Drosophila melanogaster: one gene and its partners. The protein of the gene in region 2 interacts with the protein of the main gene of each other region in a pairwise test. Each region holds a gene or a part of one and is shown on either strand. Other genes may lie near its edges.

Evidence for each region.
Region 1: the proteins of CG14380 (region 2) and Tim9a interact in a two-hybrid assay, tested with the Drosophila melanogaster proteins (one large-scale study listed by BioGRID).
Region 3: the proteins of CG14380 (region 2) and CG40228 interact in a two-hybrid assay, tested with the Drosophila melanogaster proteins (one large-scale study listed by BioGRID).

The regions. Positions count from the first base shown.
Region 1 is NC_004354.4:13,379,196-13,386,393, forward strand, and holds Tim9a (Tim9a), read left to right. Parts: upstream 1-6,014; 5' UTR 6,015-6,141; coding exon 6,142-6,201; intron 6,202-6,304; coding exon 6,305-6,400; intron 6,401-6,465; coding exon 6,466-6,597; 3' UTR 6,598-6,698; downstream 6,699-7,198. Other genes in the region: CG1640 (uncharacterized protein), read left to right, coding at 1-175, 238-386; Rbp1-like, read right to left, coding at 4,074-4,428, 5,105-5,493; Ype (yippee), read right to left, coding at 7,149-7,198. UniProt on the Drosophila melanogaster protein: Mitochondrial intermembrane chaperone that participates in the import and insertion of multi-pass transmembrane proteins into the mitochondrial inner membrane.
Region 2 is NT_033777.3:13,184,920-13,192,766, forward strand, and holds CG14380 (uncharacterized protein), read left to right. Parts: upstream 1-3,599; 5' UTR 3,600-3,670; coding exon 3,671-3,721; intron 3,722-3,787; coding exon 3,788-3,967; intron 3,968-4,031; coding exon 4,032-4,307; 3' UTR 4,308-4,649; downstream 4,650-7,847. Other genes in the region: CG8508 (uncharacterized protein), read right to left, coding at 746-1,549; CG8141 (uncharacterized protein), read left to right, coding at 6,782-6,884, 6,934-7,550.
Region 3 is NT_037436.4:27,078,673-27,087,305, forward strand, and holds CG40228 (uncharacterized protein), read right to left. Parts: upstream 5,235-8,633; 5' UTR 5,168-5,234; coding exon 5,052-5,167; intron 4,922-5,051; coding exon 4,789-4,921; 3' UTR 3,419-4,788; downstream 1-3,418. UniProt on the Drosophila melanogaster protein: Transcription elongation factor implicated in the maintenance of proper chromatin structure in actively transcribed regions.

The DNA of each region.
Region 1 (7,198 bases), on a different chromosome or scaffold from region 2:
GCCGAGCTCGTCCACAAGGCACTGAACAGCTTCGAAGGCTACAAGGTTAACCCCGTACAGGGCGCCATGTACGTCTTTCCACAGATCGAGATCCCGCCCAAGGCGATCGAGGCGGCCAAGGCCAAGGGCATGGCCCCCGATGTTTTCTACGCATTTGAGCTGCTCGAGACGAGCGGTGAGTTTTCTTTGCTGACCTCGTTTGTTAGTCTCTCAATTTATTGTTTAATTTTCTCCCAGGCATTTGCATTGTTCCTGGCAGTGGATTTGGTCAGAAGCCCGGCACGTGGCATTTCCGAAGCACGATCCTCCCGCAAACGGACAAGCTGAAGCTGATGATGGAGAAGTTCCGTGTGTTCCACGCCGAGTTCATGAAGAAGTACAAGTAGATCAGCTGCCAACTTCCCCGTCCTCGATCCCTGTGTTAAGTGTCAATCCTCCGGCTTAGGATTAAAAATTTAAATTACCCTAATTGTTTTTTTTTTTTCCTCTTTGTTACTGTGTCATAGCTGAATGCTTCTAAGCTCTTCTTTATATGCATATATAGATATATATGAGAAATATATAAAAACATTTTTAAAACCCTATGATTTGTGAACCCAACCCGCGCAGGTTTTATCGCCACGATAACGTTTCCAGTTAGCAATTAACCCACTTAACCATGTAGTCTTTGATTCTTAATTGAACGAAAACTCCTGGCGGAGATTTGACAATAATTTTTGTTAGAACCAAAAGTAGTTTACCATCTTTTGGTCGGCGCATAATTGAAAATTCTGATATTGTTCTAAACGAAAGTTATTTGCATTGTGTATATTTATATTTATCTACACATAAATATATATAGCCCTGCATGTGCTTATCCCCCGCGAATCGATCACGAAAATCATATGATGTGTGTGCGTTCAAGTCATTACTAATTGTTATAGACAAGAAGAAACTTTGAAAATAAATAAATAATTATTATTGTTAAGCCAGCGCTGCGTTAATTTCAATTTGGGCAATGGGTATCCTTTTGTAATTTGTTTTTAAGAAAAGCTGAAAATCCCGACATTCCCATTAAAAACACCCATTGTGTATATTTTCGGTTTTAAATTAGGTTCAATTTATTGATTCTCATTTCACGACTTATGTAACTACTTGCACTTACGCCAAACAATCGCATATAGTACCTTTTTTTCACTTTTCTCTTGACATGTTTTGTGTTGCGACAGATTTAGGGTAAAAACCAAGTGGATAAATAATTTAGGTTCGCGGACATACAATAAATTTACCTTTGACATCCATTGTTCATCGGATGCCTCACTCTTTGTGTGTTGTAGTTGTAGTTGCGCTGGTGGCTTGTTCTTTTTATCTTTTCATTTTCTGAATTAAAATCTACCAAAGTCTTAAGGCCTAAAAACCAATGTGTACCATAGTTGTACTGTGGCTATACTAGCGAACCATTCGGATCGAAGAGATGGCTGGGTTGTGTGGTGGTCTTTTGTGAAGTTGCTCGATACCTTTTTTTTTTTTGTTTTTTGGTTTTGTTCTCTGTGGGGGGGGGGGGGTTATTATATGGAGGGGGACGAATTTATTGAGTCAAACTTCAGAAATCTGTTGAGCCATTTTTCGTCTGGCAAAACAGATCCTTTTTGTCCTCAACTCTGGGGCCGTACTACTTTATGTATATATCTCTGTATATGTATAATATATATATATATCTATATATATGTGTGTGTTGTGGAGTCCAGTTTTGGGCTGCATCCCACTACTACTCTTCTCATCTAATGGCGGTCCCTGGAGTCGGAGCGACTGCGACGATCCCTCGAAAAGCTGCGGCTGCGTGTCCTTGAGCGGCGGGGTGAGCGTGATCTGCAATGAAATGGGTAGCGTTTGGGGAAAAACATATTGGGCCCGGCACACACATACAGGACACAGAAAGAGAGAGGTGAGAAAGAAAGAGAAAGAGAAAGAGAAAATACAAATTAAATAGATTTTGCACCAATGAGTAACTTAACTAGTCGTGTAGTTAGATAACAATTCCTTAAGATACGTAAAGTTGATAAGAGTGGTCTCGATCAAACAACACACAACTTGGGCTGACGGATCTGGTGGATCGGATACGGATCGGAGAGCTGACATTGGAGCTTTAATTTGAGCTGAGCGGAGCTGAGAGCTGGCAGTAATTTTTTTCAGTTTTTTTTTTGGTGGCTGAAGGTGCTTGAAGGTGGTGGAGATATAGCTGATATATATATATATATATATATTTTTTTTTTGCCCCATTAACGAAAGCGTTGGTGTGACATTTACATAAAGTAATTGGTGGTGGTTGGTTGGATTGGTGGCTGATTGGTTTGTTGGTAGGTTGCTTAGTTGGTTGATGAGCAGAGCAGACTGAGAAGGCTGTTGTTGTTGTTGTTGTTGAATTGTAGTAGTAGTAATAGTAGTAGTAGTAGTAGTAGGTTCTTGTTGAACTGTTGTAGTTTGGGCTGTTGTTGTTGATACGATACTGAGCTGATTGACTGTGACTAGGGTGGCTGTGTTGTGTTTCTATTATTATTATTATTTCTTTTTTTTTGGTGTGTGTTGTTGGTGGATATATTGGTGAATCATTCTATTCTGTTGCAGCAGCCGAAGAACGTAGGTCGTATGAAGAAGCAGTTGGTGGGGAAGCATCAGTTAGCAGCAAGAGAGGATCAGGTTGGTGGTTGTGGTTTGGTGGTGGTGGCGGTGCAGCTCCTACCATCCGCGCTGTGAAGTTGCGAGCTTGAAGAAGATTCTGCCCTGCCCTGAACTGCTGATGCTGCTGGTGCTTTGGTCGATTGTTGGTGGGGTCGTTTTGTTGGTGAACTGTCTGACTGTGAGTTCGAGCTGATCGGATCAATGCATATAAACACACATTTACACAATATACTTGTATATTACACACAGAGAGCAGACAATTAGCGCGAACAAGATTATCTCAGTAGATGTTAGGATGCAAGAACAAAAGGTAAAAAAAAAAACAACCATAATTACAATTACGAGTATAACAAACGGATTTTGTTAGAGGCGTTACGTTACGTTTCGTTTCGGTTCGAGGGACAGTGTTGTTGGTGGCGGCCAAAGGTTTCATACTTGCTGCGATTGAAGGAATTAGCATGAAGCAGCCTCAATCTTGGTTTGATTGCAAGGGAAAGGTGCAACTACTGAGTGGTGGAACCAACAAAAAGTCTACCAAAGGCTTTTCAGCCTCGAGATCGATTTGCTGACTGGCTGCCAGATGTTCTTGTTGTAGTAGTAGTAGTAGTAGTAGTAGTAGTAGAAGTAGAAGCTGTTGTTGCAGTTGGTCTTTGTAGCTGTAGCTTGTTGCTGATGCTGTAGCTGCACTAAAGATGACGGATGATGAGGTGGTGGGTGGTTTGTTGGGGACGTAGGAGCAGGCTGAAGACAACCGCACAACTTGGAGACGTAGGAAGTTGACTTTTTGAAGCGTTGCTGGACTGGTGAGTGTGTGTATAATATATATATAAATATGCAATAGATGCATTTTGGCATTTGGATTCTTGATGAAGTTGCTCTGTTGCCGCCGACGATCGGTTCGCTCTGGTTCTTGGTGATTAGTGTGGTTAATGGCTGTTTGTGTGAGTGTGTCTGTTGTGTAGCCTGAAGATGTTGCCAACTAACAGACTATAAATGATGTGGAAATGTGGAATGCACTGTGGGGCATACGACCATCTTCGTTTGCTAAATCCTATTTATATTCCAAAGCAATATTCTGTTATTTGACAAAGAAAAAAGACCAACGTTTAGCAGCTAAATCCTATTCAAAATAGGCATAGATCGAAGATTACTTAAATCGTTTTCTTTTCTTTAGTTTGTAGCTAGTCGTGTGCCCCATAGTGGAATGTATAGTTAGGTGACTGTGGGTGGTGTTCGGTCTGGTTTTGGGTGCATTATTCTTGAAGCTGCGGAGCCGAAGACGTTGCTGATGATTCATTTTTTTCTGTTCTGTTTTTCTTTTTTTTTTTTTTTGCCTGGGTTGAGCTGAACAGGTGGTGGAGGGGGTGTGGTAGTGTTGCGGTCGTTCGGTTTGGTTCTGGTTCTTGGTTTTGTGGTCAGCGGAATATATCGAATTTGTTGAATTTCTGGTTAGGGCCGCACAACAAATTGTTATTGCATGGTGGTGGTGTAGTGGTGGCTGTAGTTGTTGTTGTTGTTGGTGAAATGTGTGTAATAGGAGGAGCAGGATCTGCTGTTGTACTAGTTGTTCTTGTAGTAGCTGTTGTTGTTGTTCTTTTGGTTGTTGTTGTTGAAGGAAGAGGAGTAGTAGAAGTTCTAGTAGTAGTAGCTGTTGTTGTTTTTTCTTTTTTCTTTGTTGTTCTTTTAATTATCATTATTATTATTATTATTGATGTTGTTGTTGTAGTAGTTCTTGTTGTGCTTGTTGTAGTAGAAGAAGAAGACTTTATCCTGCAAAATGATTGTGAGACCACATTAAAACTGGCTCCAAGCGATCGATTTACTTTGTTTTTACTAAGTTTTCTTGTATTTTCTTTTCATTTTTCTTGTATTTTGTAATTTTACTAAAAACAACAAACAAAACGTTTTCTCTAGTTAAAGCTATACTCTTTGAACTTTAAACTATGGACCTCGGGGTGCATATAATGAGCAATGAAATGTGATACTAAAACAAGATTCCCCTTAAAAAACAAAATACGAGCTAAAAAGAATCGATTGACGTAGCAAAAGCAACCAGGACTGTCGGCCACGGACGCCACTGTGTGCGCGCGGTAGGACTGTTCTTTTTCACGGACGCCACTGTGTGTGTTTATGTATGGCTAACAGTGGTGTCCCACCGTATGTGTGACTGTGTGTATTTTGGCTGGCACCGCTTTTGTATGTATACGCGAATCGATTTTTCACATGCATACATACACACAAGCACACACGCTATATAAATATGTATACATATGTTTATTTATATATATATTTTTGCATACTTTTTTGCACATAATGGCAAAAATTATGATTTCATAATCTCGAGAGAGGGGTAGTGGTAGTAAGTGGGTGCTTTGGTTGGTTGGTTAGTTAGTTTATCTGGTTTATTCTGGGGATGCAAAATGTAATGCTTTTGTGCCGTACTCACCTATAGCGTCCACCGCCATCGCCAGCCCTTCCACCGCCTCCAGCACGGGCGCCACTGCCACCGCCGCGGCCGCCGCCACCGGATCCGCCTCCACCACCGCCGCCTCCACCGCCACCGCCGCGACCCTCTCGTGAACGGCCTGATGACATTTCGACACGGATGCGGGTGCCACAGCAGCGGGTGCCGTCGAGGCCACGGGTCGCATCCTCAGCGTCGCGACGATCCTCGAACTCGACGAAGGCGAAACCGGGCGGATTGCGGGCCACCCAGACGTTGCGCAAGGGTCCGTATTTGCTAAAGGCGTTCTCGATCTCGTATTTGGAGGCCGAGGATCCCAGATTGCCCACGTAAACTTTGCAGGCTAAATCCCATTCACGGTAGCGTGGCATTATGTATGAATATGTATGTGGCTGGAGGTGCTGCTCCTCCGGTTCTGTAATGGATTTTTGGTATTTGTTGTACCACTGGACTTGTCCAAAGTCAATTTTCCAGTTTGTTTTGATGCTATTCCGAGGGAATTCTCCTTGGTTTTTCAAAGAGCACACCCACAAAGCAGGAGCAGAAAAAAGTGTTTGTGAGGAAAAAAAGATGGCGTGCCCTCCAGTGTTGAAAAGTGAACGAGGTGCAGTACCGTAAAGCGCTGACCATAAGATATGCGACTATCGATATTTTATAGGAATATCGATCTTTGAAATATCATTTTATTCTATTTAATAGTTTAAATTAAATGTTTCACAACCTAAGGGTACTTAGTTAAAGTATTATTATAAATATACCTTAATTTATGTATGGATACATTTGCTTAATTTCATATACCCGATGTTAAGAGTAAAACTAGATGTGGTTAATTTTTGAGTCGGCCGAACCAGATACTTCACATAACATACTTCAAAAGATAACATATCGATAAGTCGAGAACACGGAATGGCTTTTTAACATCTGGCAACCCTGCACACCCAGCTGTCCCTATTATATAGGCACATTATTATTGGCCCTTTTTCGTTTCGGCAATTTTGAATAAAATATCGCAGAACAAAATGGCTAAGACACCGGAAAACATAGCCATCGATCAGTTGGACAAGGATCAAATTAAGACGGTAAGCAGAGTTGACACGAAGATACCATCTCATGCCAAGGACCGGCGGTGCCAAGTGATGCAATGTGGTTTTCATTTGATATGTTTTCGGTTCTAACTTTCAGTTTTCCGACTTCCTAATGTCCTACAACAAACTGTCCGAGACGTGCTTCACAGATTGCATACGCGACTTTACAACGCGGGATGTTAAGGATTCCGAGGTGAGTGCCCGTGGGGAAGCTCCATGTGGAAATCAGCGATTTCAATATGCCCATCCATTTCACAGGAGAAGTGCTCGCTGAACTGCATGGAAAAGTATCTGAAGATGAACCAACGCGTCTCGCAGCGTTTCCAGGAGTTCCAGGTTATTGCCCACGAGAACGCACTGGCCATGGCTCAAAAGACTGGCAAACTTTAGGTGTTATAGCTGTTACAAACAATCTTAACTAGTTTAGACAACTGAGATGATGCATTTTCCTGCATTTGTCAAAATAGCTGAGTAAAGAAACGCGTTGACGGAATCCCGACGATTATTATCTACTATTCGATTATTGTGGTACTTTATTGCTGATTGATTACGGCCTAGAGATCTTGTTTGAAAAAGACAAGTGTGGATCATCAGTTTCGAATATGTTCCAGCTGAGTAGCAGCCCATCTTTTTCGTTTTAGCACTTCAGCCTCATGACATTTAAATGGTAGAATTGGGCGCCGCAGCTGCTTACGTGCTAGATGTGCCTACAATTACGTTTAAGTCACGTTAAGACAGGGCCGTAGTCGCATGTGCTCCGTGGCGGATGTGCAACCGATATATCGGTCTTCGGTATCCCGAACACCGGAGCCGACTACGGCGATCTCTAATCTAGGTCTAATGCATAGAGGCCATCGCCTGTGGCCATCTACTCAATACTTAGGGCTACACAAGGTTCGCCAATGCGTGGTTCCCGTTTTCCGGCTGTATATTCAATCGGCTCAATGACTCGTGGTGGCGGCCTCCGACGGAAAGCCCTCTGCCTCTGTGA
Region 2 (7,847 bases):
CATGCAACCAGATCTCCGCCAGATCCCAGCTCGACCCCTTCTGCCGTCCGATTGTTGTGCTTAAAATTGCTGAATAATTGTGCGGAAGTTGGTAGTTGTTGCATTCTGCGATGAAAATGGAAAAAAATGAACATAAAGTGAGGGTGGTCCATGAATCACATAAAAAACAAATGTCGCGTCGTTAGGCTAAAAGCTTTATGCAAATTTTCCATTGCTTCTTATCATATTCTCTTTGCCGTGCTGCAAGCTGAATGGAAATTGTATTGAACAGGGGATGAGATTGCATTGCGGGCTGGTCGATATGTATATATATATATATAAGTCCGATATCGGGGGGTTAATTGGGTGGACGGTCATTGTTATGCAGCTTAGGTCAAGTGTCTGCAATTAGGTGCAATTGTTTGAGAGGAAGTGCCATTTAGTTAAGCATTTGAACATGTAGGCTACTTACCAACCCCTTTTAAGAGCATTATTATTACTGCAACAGCAATTCGAACGCTTATTGAATCGGTTAGATTGGGTCTACTAAATTAAATCACATTACTTACGTTTAGGAAATGGGAATGCTTACACGAAAAAAAGTTGTAAATACTGTAGCATTATTTTAGCTTGTACATAATTTCATAAAATATTTATAATTTAAGACAAAGATTTAGTTAACGAGAGGCACCTAACTTGGAAAGCTAGTTACAAATTTTGTTGTTCTAAATGATTTCCTTGATGGCGTTAAAAAGCAAGATGATCTTTATACCTCTAAATCCTCTAGGACGTCCTGAAGCTCGGTAGCTACCCCCAGATCGTCGTCGTGATCTGATTTTCCCGAGTCCTCAGCCGATTTATCCACATTGCCACCCACCAATCGATCAGTATCAATACCAAACTTGAGTTCAAAGGGAAAACTCAGCTTGGGCACCTCGAAAGTGTGCATGTGGTAGTCGTAGTTGGTCTGCTCTTCTGGCGGAGCCGGGCAAGCGTGTTTAGCTTGAGGATTTCTATCTAAACCAGTCTGATGCCCCTCTTGTTCGGGATGCATATAGATGGTGTGTCCCGCTCCCGTCGCATTGTAGGCGTCATTTTCGGTGATACGCTTTGTGGAAGTATCAGGAGTTATTTCGGTATCGTCAATGAGTATGTTTATATCAATGGGCACGAGCATGTAGGTTTCTCCAGTACTTTCATCGGTTTGAATTTGGCTTAACTGCTCGTAGTCCTCGTCTGAAATGCAATCCAAATTTATTACATGGTCAGATTTCCAGCGAGCAATTTCCTTGGCGTCTGCGCGTTGAAACTTATCCGATTCCGAAGATCCAGTAGCTACTCCATTTGAGGTAATCTTAAATTTGTATAATAGCGGTTCTTTGAGCTGGACAAAAGCCTCTGGCTTACCAGCCTCCACATAAACTTGCACTTTATCCAGTGCATTGGCTATGAAATCATCGTTTGATAGCTCATTCCGCTCCTGCTGGCTTTCGTCCTCTATTTCCTGTGCCAGCAACTGCTGAAGCTTGATCATTTGCTCCTTGGTCAGATTGAGATCCTTTAGACTCATCGTTGCCCTGTACGGATTTAGGGATAATATATATTAGTAATGTACACAAAAAAAATATGATGATATTCGGAGTGATAATAATAAGATTGCGATAATGACTAGAAAATAAAGATCACTAGATATGGAAGCTGTGTATAAAAGTTTAGTTATCATAATTTCCTTTTGATTTTATAAAGATACTGTATGTCTTGGTTGCCCAAAATTACCAAAAACCCTATTGTATCTCATTAAGTATATAATATTTAAGAATTTTTGGCGAACATACATGTCAAACTAGTTTGCCAGTGCACTGGTTTCAAGATATGAATTGCTCTTCTGGGCTTCTATTCTATTGTTTGGAGAACGTACTTAAATTCAATTATTGTTTAAACACATCGAGAGACTTACCATCGTAATCTGAGACAAACAGTTGCTGATTGCCCTGAGGGCAGGGGTACAATTAAACAGCCTTGTCCGCACATTACCGCTCACGTTTTATGGCTGCCGTTTAAAAATATTGAAAAAAGCAGGGCAGGCACGAAATTGAAATGCCTGCCAGCGGGCGCAGCTTTATTGGCACCCGTCGACCAGGAGCCGGGGCATTATCCTGCAGATGGCTGCGGTCACTGGACATTAGGCGCTGGAGGACAACCGGTGTCCGTCGACAAGGCCAGGATCATGGCAGAACGGATACGGGCATTGTACATGAGATGGCGTCATTAAATACACATTACCCTGCCGGCGCAGGACGAACTCAGGAGCAGGAGCAGGAGTAGGCGACGGTGGAGTGGAGGCAGTCCGGCGATAAAGGCACAACAACCGCCGAGCAACAGTCGGCCAGCAGGAGAATGGCTATTAAAAAGCAGCCCGGGCCGAAGATAGACATGGTCGGCTACAGTGGCAGACATAACAAATTACACCATTTCGACAGGCGGTTCACAACAGGAAGGCAGTGCTGTTGAAATAGACTTTCCTTAGCTATTAGCTAAGAATATCAAGGATATTATGTATAGAGATTAGAAGCCAAATATATTTGTAAGACATTTACCATATCCATAAAACTGAATTTTAACAAAATAATTATAATATTCTCACGTTTCTTTATTTGCTCTAAAAATTCTGATTATGTCTTTAACAATTATTGATCAATTTTAATAAGACAATCGATCCTTGCATTCAGCTAGATAACCAAAGCTTTCTTCATTTTATATATACTCGAGATTCCCTTTGAAATAGCTATTTATTCTTATCTGCAATCGCCAGCACTGGATTGACACTATGGCCGGTGGTTCGATGGTTGGTGTTCAGTTTCAATTGTGCTGGCAAACGTGACTCCAAATTGGCTGCCGGCGAATAATTCATACGAAACACTTTCGCACCGTGCGCCTTGCCATTAGCATCGTACCACTGCCCCCACCGTCGGATGACCACCCACCTCCCACCACCCACTGGCACCCAAAGCGCCCACTTCGAACCACAGGGTAGCCCATGCCATGCCCCACGTAACCCCACGATTGCATTTACAGCAAATTATTTATGGCTGCGACAGACACGGAACAGGAAGCGAGTATGCGCTGCCAACTTCACGTCCATCAATATTTTATGAAACCCTGTCTGCAGAACGCTCCGCGCTGCTCTCAGCCGCCGGAATGGATGGGTTGGAGTCCTCGGAACAGGACGAGGGTATCTGCTTACATGGCTGCCTTGTGCCTTCTGCCGGCTGCCTGGCTGTCGATATCCGGTAGATGAGTATCTAAATTGCCTTTACTGTTGATGAATTAGCGCCGGCTGCCTGCCGCTCCCATTTGTGTGGAATGGGTGGCATTGCAAGTGCCTGCGTGGCGCAGATAAGCTTCCACGATGGGTGCAAATTTCAATTTGTTCTCGATGATTTTGCGCTCATCAAATAGGCCGGCAATCTAGGAAGACGGGAACACGACCTTGTTCGAAAGGATATGAAGTGAGAACAGAGCTACAACAGCAGGGGATTGGCAATTCACCAAACGGATGCACCTAAAATTACTCCATCATTCCTGTTGGAATAATACACATTAAAAATGAGTAGTAGAAAATGACTTATCAATCCTTGAGTTAAACATCAGTAACTGTTGCAGTATTTTTAAATTACCAGTTACGTCCATTATGTTACTCTCCCGCAAGGAAATCGTATCGTTATTGCTATTCCTCACGGCGGTTAGTTGCACCTGACTGCCATCTAATATCTGACCTTGTGACTCACCCCAGTCATCTGCTCCGCAGATCATTTCCGTGCTGAACGCGTCGGTGTTTGGGAACGTCCTGCCCCTCCACGTCAGTTATGAGCAGCTGGGCCATCAAGTGGTCTGCGTGGGAACTGCCTACATTTGCCTGATTTACGCCATGAGCACCTGGTTATACCACTCGAATTATTCCAGGACCCGTCTGCACATGCGATTGGTGGTGGGTGGTCGGCCAAATGGAGGTGAAGTCTAATTTCGAACATTTAAATATCCCATTTTTGCAGCTGGTGGCCATGATTTTGATTATGATACTGTTTAACTGCGCTTCTACCTACTACTTCCTAACCGGCGTTTCATTTTCAAAGCTAGGAGATTCCATGGAACTAATTTTCCTCTTTAGCAGCTTTGCAATGGCCTCCAAATCGGTCAGTTTGAGCATGTCGGCCATCAGCGTGGTGATCCTGATCGTGATCATGGTGTTACTCATTGTGACAATCATTCAGTCCCATAGAAGACACAAACGGGACAGAATGCGTTACCTCGAGTCGCAAAAGCAATAAACTCATCCTCATTCCCGTGGGAGTGCACATTAAGTTTGGTTTTTATGCAACGCCAAACATTTCATGTCGCTGCAATGTGGCGCCGTAGCTGCAATAATATAAATATTGCACTCGTACCTCGTTTGGCACAGACAGACACGAACTGCTCACCTCCTTTATTTTTTCACTCATGACACACCGATTCTGTGTGTGTGCTTTCTTCGCAGGTGATATGAAAAACATATACGAGTGTAAGAGAATCTCTGTTATTGTTTATCCAAGTCGCAGTGGGCATGCCCTGCCTTGAGAATAATTATACAATATATTTTTGTAATTCTATGTAATAAATGTTAGTTAATAGGGTTGAAGTTTGAAATTTTCTTTCTTTCCAAGATTTTTACTCATTCTGGGTCTTAATAATTTGGCATTACATACATTTTCGGTACCTTTTTTTCTCGATTATGAAAATGCCATCAGTGTATGCAGTGTATGTGTGAGTGCTTGGGCACCATCAGGGCCCAAAAAAATACCATTCTGGCCAGGATAAGTCTGAACAGTGCAACTCATAAGGGAGACAAGCAGCCTCTTCACATCGGCTTGTGTACCATTGCATTTTGCATAATGAAGCCGGCAGACAGTGCACTTTCGAGCATCAGACAAACGAAGTTAGGTACGAACTTAAAGGCTTGCCAAGCTGGAAAAGTTAAAGTTAGCTTTTTGGCACAAGTAGTGAGAAGGGGTTGGTAATTTGGGTAGGGGTTTTTAGGAGCGTTGTAGTAGCCTAATTACGCTCCAATGGCTGCCCATCAAAAGTGACAGTTGGCAAGGCAGGGGCTTACAATAAAATTTCAAGTTAAGTTATTGCCGCGCCGCTGGCGAGAGCTACGCGAATACTCAGTTGAAAGTAATTCCAAATTTAATTGCGCACAATTTAGAATGGCGAGATGTTGGCGTGCGTTTAATTAACTGAAAAATAACATAAAAAGCAAAACGAAAACAAAGCCCAATGACAGCCGCGGCGCCAGTGGAAATGCTTAATGTTAAATGCCAACTAATTAAATTTCGGGCATGCCAACGAAGTTGACTGGAGTTGAACTGCCGAATTTATTGTTGCATTTAATGGCCAGCGCAGGCGGTTATCCTTGTGCCATCGCTCGGCTTTACCACTTTTTATTGCGTATACGCTGGGGCACCCCCATTACGTATACGCAGTGTATTACGCCCCTCCACTCACAGCAGGCAAATGGACAGGCTAAAGGATTCGCTTTGTGGACAGGGATATAGGATGCCAAATGACGCAGAACCACTGGCATTGCGATTGTAATTCCGATTGGGCAAACGTCAGTTTCTCTGCGGTCCGTCGCCAAATGAAGCCAATAAAATGTCCTTGTTCGCACGCAAACGTGCGAAAGTGATTCATGTAAACTGATAAAAATTTAATCATATTTCACGTATTAACACGTAATTATTAATGCCTGATAAATGTCGGCAGTTGTGTAATATGTGAAAAAGTCGCTATTAATATGCATTATTTTCCGCTAGTTGTTATTTCACTGGGTAAGTAAAAAGCGCACGGTGTGTCCACAAGCTTCGGAAATACTTTGCTACGCATTACCATATAATTATAGTACTTTAAAAATATTTTATAGATGGTCTTAAAAACTTAAATTTCATTATATTTTACCACGCAACACTCCCGCTTGTTTTTTATTCAGAACAAGAACAGGTTATTTTACACCACTGCGTAATAGTTCTTTATTTAATTCTGTTCGAGTGTGTAATTTCGCTATGAAACTTCACTTTTATTATTATTGTCATTGTTATGTGTGCGAACGCCTGTCGGCGGGTTTATTTGGACCGTCCCGCGCTTTATTTTCTTTTAATTATGTACTCAGCTCACAAATGTGGGTCAATTAACAAGCAGTCGATGGTCCCCATCGATGTCGAAAAATCGGGATTAAACAATGCCGCAGACGTGCTGCCAGGACAATGCAAACAATTGTCAGAATTTAAATGCAGCGGCAACGGACCGCGAAGTTTCCACTCACTATCCGGTTCAATTTTCGCATAAATTATGCCGCCATATGTCACACATCTGGCGAATGCTACGAATTTCGATTTTCCGCCGTTTTTCCGGAACTGTCAAATGCTCGGCGTGTGTAGTTCGCTGTTTTGCAATTCTTGGACGGAATGCTGGAATGGTTTTAATATAAATCACTAAGTGTCTGCAAAACAATCAAAATCTGGCATGAACTATGTTACGGTGAAACTTAGTCATTAATTAATATGCCCTCAAATTTAAGTCGCTGAAAATGTCTTGCTTTTCATATAATCGAGAAATAAAATTACTATTGTACCTAAGATCTGTGTTAAGAATATTATAAAAAGTCGCGTTTGCTTTGACTCAGTTGTCACAAATTTGCCAGGCACAAATTTATATTTATGTAATTTGGAGCATGGGTTTTTAAAAACAATAATCACAAAAAGATTTTGAAATGGAAGCAGTTGCTAGAGAAAATGATCCACCAAATCATTGCTATATAAATGAAGAAGTTCCAGCGAATGAAACTGCCGAGAATCCTAGTCATGGCCTTCAAGGTGAGGCATTCCAATTAAATGGAAAATTATTAATGTTCAAGGTGAGCAGGTGAGGTGATTTCAAAGGGTTATATACCAGACTTGTCCAACGCAAACGTCAATCAGCAACAGCAGCAGGAAAATGATGGCGAAGATGACCTCTTGCCTGGAACTAGACTTCGCTACCGTCGCAGGAATTTGCATCTGGATCCCTATGTGTGCAATGAGTGCAACCAGTATGTGCGTGGTGGTGTGATCACCATCTGTGGTCATTTGTTTTGCTGGACTTGCCTGTGGCCCAAATTGAGTGGTACAGCACAGCCAAGATGTCCATGCTGTCAACGACATTTGCTCATGTACGAGGACATCATGCCCTTCCATGGAGAGGGACCCAATGCCCGTCAGGAGGATAATAATGTGCCGGCCCAGCCGGGCTCAGTGCCTCGCCCGACGGGACTGTATCTCTCTGATACTGATTTTCCCTGTTGGTTCGCGGTCAACGATCCTGTAGATGGGTGCCCAGCGACTTTCCCTGATATTCGCAGGGAGAGGGATCTTCACTGCGCTATAAGGCTTATTCCAATGGTGTACCCTTGGATCGGAGCACAAATTAGTTTTCTCAAGTGGTTCCAGTTGGGATGCGTGTTGCTCATATTTCTGATATGGTCCGTACTGTCGCTGTTCTAAGAGGTGTTTTTGTAATACATTTTTGTTTTTGGTTAATGGGAGAAGAGTGCGTTTTGGTTAATATCTTAAGAGGTTGGTCGGACCTCAATAAATTTCTGCTAATGCTGAAAGTATCTATTTTATAAAATCGAATGATTTAAATCGTATATAACATTCATTATAATTTGTTGCCCAAACCTCTGCAGCCAAGACATTTTCGTTGGAACCCTCTTGCATCTTCAACGAATCGAAGAAATATTTTATGAACTCTCTGGCCAAGTCAAAGTTAGTAAGTGCAACAACGCAAAGTACCGGGGC
Region 3 (8,633 bases), on a different chromosome or scaffold from region 2:
CCAAATCAAAAAATCCGTTATTCCAAATTTCGGTCATCAATTTTTTGCCACAACCTTAAAATAATTGTCTGAATATGGAATGTCATACCTCAGATCGTAATAAAATTTCCAATCAAACTGTTATCAAAAATGGAAATTAAATTTTTTGGCCATATTAGCTGCATTAGCTTAGTTGTGACGGAAATTCGGCTCGAAGCTGGGTTCGGAAAAATAGAATTTTTCAGATTTAAAAGCTGGAATCGTTTGAAAATATTTTTTTCAAAGAAGTGGGCAAATGTTAAAAACTAATTTTAAAGGATGGACAATCGAAATTATTTAATTTTAAAAGGTTGGCAAACAAATTTATTTATTTTTAAGAGTTTTTTTGCCACAACTTTAAAAATAATTGTCTGAATATGGAATGTCATACCGCAGATCGTAATAAAATTTTCAATCAAATTGTCTTCAATAATGTAAATTCAAATTTTGATGACTTCCACCTTACAAAAAATGCGGAAATTGACCCAAAAATTAATCTCCCTAAATCCTTTAATAAGAAGATATCAACTTTTTGGGAAAATCCGGTTTTTAAAATTTTGATCATCAAATAATCAGTTTTTTTGCCACAACTTTAAAAATAATTGTCTGAACATGGAATGTCATACCTCAGATCGTAATAAAATTTCCAATCAAACTGTTTTCAAAAATGGAAATTAAATTTTTTGGCCATATTTTGCAAATTTTGATGACCCCTTACAAAAAATGCGAAAATTGACCTAAAAATTGATTTCCCTAAATCCATCAAAAAGTAATAGGGATCGTTAGCTCTGGTAATATTACCTTTTTTAGCTTAGTTGTGACGGAAATTCGGCTCAAAGAAGCTGGGTTCGGCAAAATCGAATTTTTCAGATTTAAAAGCTGGAATCGTTTGAAAATATTTATTTCAAAGAAGCGGGCAAATGTTAAAAACTAATTTTAATGGATGGACAATCGAAACTATTTAGTTTTAAAAGGTGGGCAAACGAATTTATTTATTTTTAAGAGTGGGCAAACGAAAAAAACTATTTTTAAAGGGTGGGCAAACGAAATAATTTATTTTTAAAGGATGGTCAAGCGTTTTTTATTGAACATTTTTATTTTATAGAGGTAGGCTAATTGGATATATTTGGATATATTTAAAGTGTGGGCAATCGTAAAAAATTTTGTTAAAGGTTTTTGAAGGGTGGTCAAACGTTAAAAACTAATAATACTGGTTGGGCAAACGTTTTTTATTGATAATATTTCGTTTTAATATATGATCAAACCAAAGACACTGGAATAATAAATAATCAAATAATAATAATAATAAAATTCTAATGTCTTTGGTCAAACGCTTTATTCTCTGAGTGGAGGTAAACTTAAATGACTTATATTTTCTAAGGTATACATTTTTTTTTAAATTCCAAGGTGTGGGCAAACAATGTTATTGCGATTTAAATAAAATAATATTTGAAAAAAGTCAACTTGAAGCTGCTGGAAACAGTTATTCTTACATCTATATGACCATTTTTAGCCAAGTTATGTCGAAAATTCCGTTTGTAAATATCAACTTTGTGGAAAAATCCGTTTTTCCGAATTTCAGTCATCAAATAATTAGTTTTTTGCCAAAACTTTAAAAATTATTGTCTGAATATTGAATGCCATACCTTGTTGCTCGTAATAAAATTTCCAATCAAAATGTGTTCAAAAATGGAAATTAAATTTTTTTTAACATTTTTCCCAAATTTTGATGACCCTTATGACCCTTACAAAAAATGCGAAAATTGACCCAAAATTGATTTCCCTAAATGTTTAAAAAATGATAGGGATCTTTAGCGCTGGTAATTAGTTTCTCAAAACAGTTATTCTTACATCTATATGACCATTTTTAGCGAAGTTATGACGAAAATTCCGTTTGTAAATATCAACTTTTTGGAGAAATCCGTTTTTCCAAATTTCGTTCATCAAATAATCAGTTTTTTTGCCACAGCTTAAAAAATAATTGTCTGACCATGGAATGTTATCCCTGCTGATCTCGTTATAAAATTTGCAATCAAACTGTGTTGAGAAGTAGAAATTAAATTTTTGGCCATATTTTGTAAATTTTGATGACCCAAATCAAAAAATCCGTTATTCCAAATTTTGGTCATCAAATAATCAGTTTTCTTGCTACAACTTTAAAAATAATGGTCTGAATATGGAATGTCATACCTCAGATCGTAATTAAATTTTCAATCAAACTGTGTTCAAAAATGGAAGTTAAATTTTTTGGTCATACTTTGCAGATGTTGATGACCCCTTACAAAAAATGCAAAAATTGACCCAAAAATTGATTTCCGTAAATCCTTCAAAAAATGTTAGAGATAGTAAGCACTGGTAATTAACAGTTATTCTTACATCTATATGACCATTTTTTGCCAAGTTATGTCGAAAATTCCGTTAGTAAATATCAACTTTGTGGAATAATAAGTAGATATAATAATAATAATAAGCAGATATAAACTTTTTGCAAAATCCGTTTTTCCAATTTTTGGTCATCAAATAATCAGTTTTCTTGCTATACCTCAGATCGTAATTAAATTTTCAATCAAACTGTGTTCAAAAAAGGAAGTTAAATTTTTGGTCATTCTTTGCAAATTTTGATGACCCCTTACAAAAAATGCAAAAATTGACCCAAAAATTGATTTCCCTAAATCCTTCAAAAAATGTTAGAGATAGTAAGCACTGGTAATTAACAGTTATTCTTACATCTATATGACCATTTTTAGCCAAGTTATGTCGAAAATTCCGTTTGTAAATATCAACTTTGTGGAAAAATCCGTTTTTCCGAATTTCAGTCATCAAATAATTAGTTTTTTGCCAAAACTTTAAAAATTATTGTCTGAATATTGAATGCCATACCTTGTTGCTCGTAATAAAATTTCCAATCAAACAGTGTTCAAAAATGGAAATTAAATTTTTTGGCCATATTTTGTAAATTTTGATGAGCCAAATCAAAAAATCCGTTTTTCCAAATTTCGGTCATCAAATAATCAGTTTTTTCGTTTAAATAATTGTTTGAATATGGAATGTTATACCTCGCTGATATCGTAATAAGATTTCCAATCAAACTATGTTGAAAATTGGAAATTATATTTTTTTGCCATATTTTGCAAATTTTGATGACCCAAATCAAAAAATCCGTTATTCCAAATTTCGGTCATCAAATAATCAGTTTTTTTGCCACAACCTTAAAATAATTGTCTGAATATGGAATGTCATACCTCAGATCGTAATAAAATTTCCAATGAAACTGTGTTCAAAAATGGAAATTAAATTTTTTGGCCATATTTTGCAAATTTTGATGACCCCTTACAAAACATGCGAAAATTTACCTAAAAATTGATTTCCCTAAATCCATCAAAAAGTGATAGGGATCGTTAGCTCTGGTAATATTACCTTTTTTAGCTTAGTTGTGACGGAAATTCGGCTCAAAGAAGCTGGGTTCGGCAAAATCGAATTTTTCAGATTTAAAAGGTGGAATCGTTTGAAAATATTTATTTCAAAGAAGTGGGCAAATGTTAAAAACTAATTTTAATGGATGGACAATCGAAACTATTTAGTTTTAAAAGGTGGGCAAACGAATTTATTTATTTTTAAGAGTGGGCAAACGAAAAAAACTATTTTTAAAGGGTGGGCAAACGAAATAATTTATTTTTAAAGGATGGTCAAGCGTTTTTTATTGAACATTTTTATTTTAAAGAGGTGGGCTAGTGAAATTGGATATATTTAAAGAGGGCAATCGAAAAAAATTTTGTTAAAGGTTTTTTGAGGGTGGTCAAACGTTAAAAACTAATAATACTGGTTGGGCAAACGTTTTTTATTGATAATATTTCGTTTTAATATATGATCAAACCAAAGACACTGGAATAATAAATAATAATATAATAATAATAATAAAATTCTAATGTCTTTGGTCAAACGCTTTATTCTCTGAGTGGAGGTAAACTTAAATGACTTATATTTTCTAAAGTATACATTTTTTTCAAAATTCCAAAGTGTAGGCAAACAATGTTATTGCGATTTAAAAAAAATAATATTTGAAAAAAGTCAACTTTTTGATTTTCGAAAATTTTTGAACTTTTTCGAAAATTCATATCTCAAAAACTGGACTAATTGGGCAAATGGGCAAACGATTCCTGCTTTTAAACATCAAAAATTCGATATTTCCGAACCCAGCTTCTTTAAGCTACATTTACAAGACTAATTAAATTATGAAAACATATCCAAAAATTTTTAAAAAATGTGCGCGCGGTAATTTTGGGCGGCTTAGGGCGTAAGAGTGGGCGTGGCAAAAAGTTTTATGGCAAATCGATAAAAATCTACAACACTAAAAATATGAAAAAATATCAACAGATTTTTCAAAAGTGTGAGCATGGTAGTTTTGTGTCATTTATGGGCGTGGCAACATGGGTGAACAAACTTACGACGAGTCGATGTCTATAGAAAGTGTATGCTTAATCTCAACCTTCTAGCTTTTATAGTTCCTGAGATCAAGACGTTCATACGGATAGACGGACAGATTCACTCTACGAATCTCCTTTGCGCAATACAATATCAATATTTTAGAATTGATTCCTAGAACAAAAATTTGTTAGAATTTCATGGGTTCAGCTTATTTTAATAAGTCAAAAATGTTTATTTCAATCTCGCTATTATGCTAAATTTTTTGTATTAAACTTATTTTATGGTATAATTTAGAGGGCTCTAGCAATTTATTTTACTTACTAACTAACTTAAAATTAATTCCATTTAATTTGCTGTTTCACAGGCATCTACCCAATCATTGTAAACATCGATAGGTTCTGAAAGGAAGTTAATTCCCGTTTGAAAATCCTCCAAGCACACCCTACAAGTTATTTTCGCTGTATTTCTGCTTTTATCCCTGAAATTATAAAATAAAGAGTTGTTTTAATAAATTTAGGTTTTGGACTTACATATAGAACCAAATAAAATCTATATGTCTACATATTCGGTCGAATAATAGTAGAATCAGAACTGTCCTGAATATGTACATTTTAACCTCACACGATTTTTCATGGTTGCAAAATGGACAATTAAATTGTTGATCAAGGGGTTCAATATTCTTTCTCTTCGGAGGCGGTTTTCTTTTAGACTTCCTTCTCCCCATTTTTTAAAGCCTCTACAGTTTTTCCACTGTGCGCGGCTACAGCAATCAAATAACAATTCCGAAAATGCTAAGATAACGAAATATTTTTGTACAAATTAACCAGTTCAACCCTTTTTCACGCATACCCAATTTAAGAATAGGCTTTATACCCGATTCACACATGTCGGTCCCTCACTTCTTATTGGCACTATTTCATAACCCCACAGAACGTTTGTTTAAATATATAAACCTTTTGCCAGTTTAAGTAGTAAATTATATAATACAATATTTATACGCACTTTAAATTGTGACGCAAATGCGAACAATTAACGTAAAAGTGGCTTATTTTGTAAATGCAATAGATATAAGGAAGAGTTTCTGACCCATGAATGTAATATAATCTCAATTAGAAACACTTGCCTAGTCGCTTTTGCGATATCCCTCCGTCGTTTCGACCATAATGTTGAGATACCGGTAACTATGGAGGCTATTTGAAGCAACATTCTAGTAAAGCATTCGGTTCGCAAGCTCAAACAGATCAAAACTGTCCATTACATTATGGGACTGACCAGGTACTATCGATATGCCAATCAACTTTTTGGGATCTCCCATAAAGCAGATTGCCACGATTCTTTTTATAATGTATGGAAGATCTGGACTGTGACGGGACCTGTGAATGGCTTATCCCTCTTATCATTACACTTAATTATATCTTACCGCATTTAATGCACTTTTTTATATACATATATCAAATTTTAAGGTATATGCGCATCTTCGTATTCTATAATATATTTCACAAATCTAATTATTGTATTTGCTTCCTTTGTGTCTAGTCAACTGCCACTATTCCATCAAACTCCTTCAGCCATTTTATAATAATTTGATACGCCTTAATTGATCAGAGTACTCAATGTCAATGCCAGCATTCATTACTTTCTTCGCATTCTCTACAAAAGATTCAAAATACAAAATCACTAATAGAAAATAAGTTTTTGATAGTTTTTTGATAAAATGATGTCTAAAATATGTATTCTTGTTTATCGAAAAATTTTTTTTTTTAATTTTTCATTTTAATTTAGATATTTCTAAAAGTTTTATTTAATTTATTGAAGGTTCTTAACCGAGCTATTTGGATCGTTGTTTTTCTTTCTATACCACCCTCAACGTCACCGGATTTATGTTGTATTTCAGGACAGCTGATTTGAATAAATAATGTAATGTAAATCATAGCTCAGTCGCAGCCATACCGAGCCTGACATTTGCAACTGGAATCTATAAGTTTGTGCTTTAGATTAAAGACTGAGCTAAAAATGTATTATTATAATACTCGTTATTCGTAGAGTAGAGTATCGAATGTATGTAACAGGCATAATGGAGCGTTTCCGAAAATATAAAGTACATTTATATATTCTTGATCAACGTCGACACCTCAGGAACTATAAAAGTTCCTAGATTCATAGACGAAGCGCAAGCTTTTTGACCCATGTTGCCACGTCCACTCCATCGCCCACAAACCACCCAAAGTAGCCACGCGCACACCTTTGAAAAATGTTTTGATATTTATACGCGTTACTCGTAGAGTAAAAGATTCGTTGAAAAGTAACAGGCAGAAGGAAGCGTTTCCGAACATATAAACAATACATATTTACAACAACATTTATTTTACTTATAAATTAAAAAACAAATTAAAAATATTAAATATACAAGAAAATAAACAACAAATTCCAAGTTTACACACTTTTGAGACTGTCAAGAAACTCTTTACACATTTTGTTTTCCTACTTTCATCGTACGCCATAGGTACTCTTCAAGAGTTGCAAGGAGTCTTTGCTATCAGAGGCCAATATTGAAAAGAATCATTCAATCGCTGTGAGCATGGTGGATCATCCGGAAGAGTACTGGGATGACGTCATATTTTGTGACGAAACTAAAATTGGTCTCTTTTATAACGATGGGCCAAGCAGAGTGTGGCGCAAGCCGTTGAGTGCGCTAGAAAAACAAAATATCATTCCAACGACAAAATTTGGAAAAATGTCACTGATGGTTTGGTTTGTATCTCCAGCCGTGGATTGGAAAAACTAGCCTTCATTGAAAGCACAATAAGTCCCGTGTAATATCTGAAAATTTTAAAAACAAATTTTAAGGCCAGTGCAAAAAAATTTTGTCTAGTTAGCAACAACAAGCCAAATTTTAAGTTCTATCAGGACAATGATCCGAATCAAAAAGATACAATGTACGCACATGGCTCCTTTATAACTGTGGTAAAGTGATCGATACGCCCCTCAGATTCCTGATCTAAACACCATTGCAAATTTGTGGACCTACTTAAATAAAAAGGTGGCAAAAAGGGCCCTAAAACACAACAGCTTATGACTGCAATAGTCGAAGAGTGTGAAAAGATCCCGCTTGAATATGACCTTCAAAAACTTATTCATTCCATGAAAAAGGCTTCAACTTGTAGCCAAAGCCAATGGGGAACATACTACATACTAAAACTTTTTAAATTTTAATAAAATAATTTAATAATTACACTTCGATTACACTTCGATTTAATGTTTTCTTCACAGGCTCAAAAGTGTGTAGACTTGGAATTTGTTGTTTATTTTCCTGTATATTTAATATTTTTAATTTGTTTTTTTGATTTATAAGTAAAATAAATATTGTTTAATTATATTGAATTAAAAAATTGTGTTTAATTAAGCAAAGAACCCTTAATTTTTACCTTTAAAGTCAAAAATTCAACTTATTTCACAGTTTCTTGACAAACAAATATTTATCGATTTGACCTTTTGCCACTTCCACTCTAATGCACAAAATCGACAGACCAAAATTGTCGCGCCCAAACTTTTAAAAAATTGTTCGATTTTTTCTTCGTTCTATTCCTTGTCTGGCCAATTTTTATGGGTGTACCAAAAACGCTTTGGCCACGCCTCCTCCCACACCTAAAAAACGCCCAAAACGGTCACGCCCACAGTTTTAAACAGTTTTTAAATTTTTTCTCATTTTATTTCCCAATATCTTTGGATATCCCAAAAAGGGAAGATATTGTTGATGTCTGGGTATGAAGCTGCCACACCTCAATGTCGTATTTCCACGCTGGTTTAATTATAGCCTTGTACAGGAGGAGCTTGTTTTTGGTGGAAAGATTACTTTTTTTTTAAGCAATCAGTACAATTGCCAACTTTTGTGATTTATAAGCTTGACCTTTCTTGTGATATGTTCTTTCCGTGGTAGTTTGGTGTCAACGGTTATCCCACAAATATTTGTTTGTTGGCTTTTGAATACTAGAATAACAAGATGCGTAACTGCCATACATTGGCTTGGCACTATGCAGCCACTTTTTTGGTGACGGCCAAAATTGCCTTCTGTCCGCTCGCTTACGCTGAGAGCGTAAGAACTCTAAAAATAGAATTTGCTTGCTTGTGTGAGTAAAAACAAGAGACGAGAACGTGCATATGTGTGCGTACTTGTGTAAGAAGACGATTTT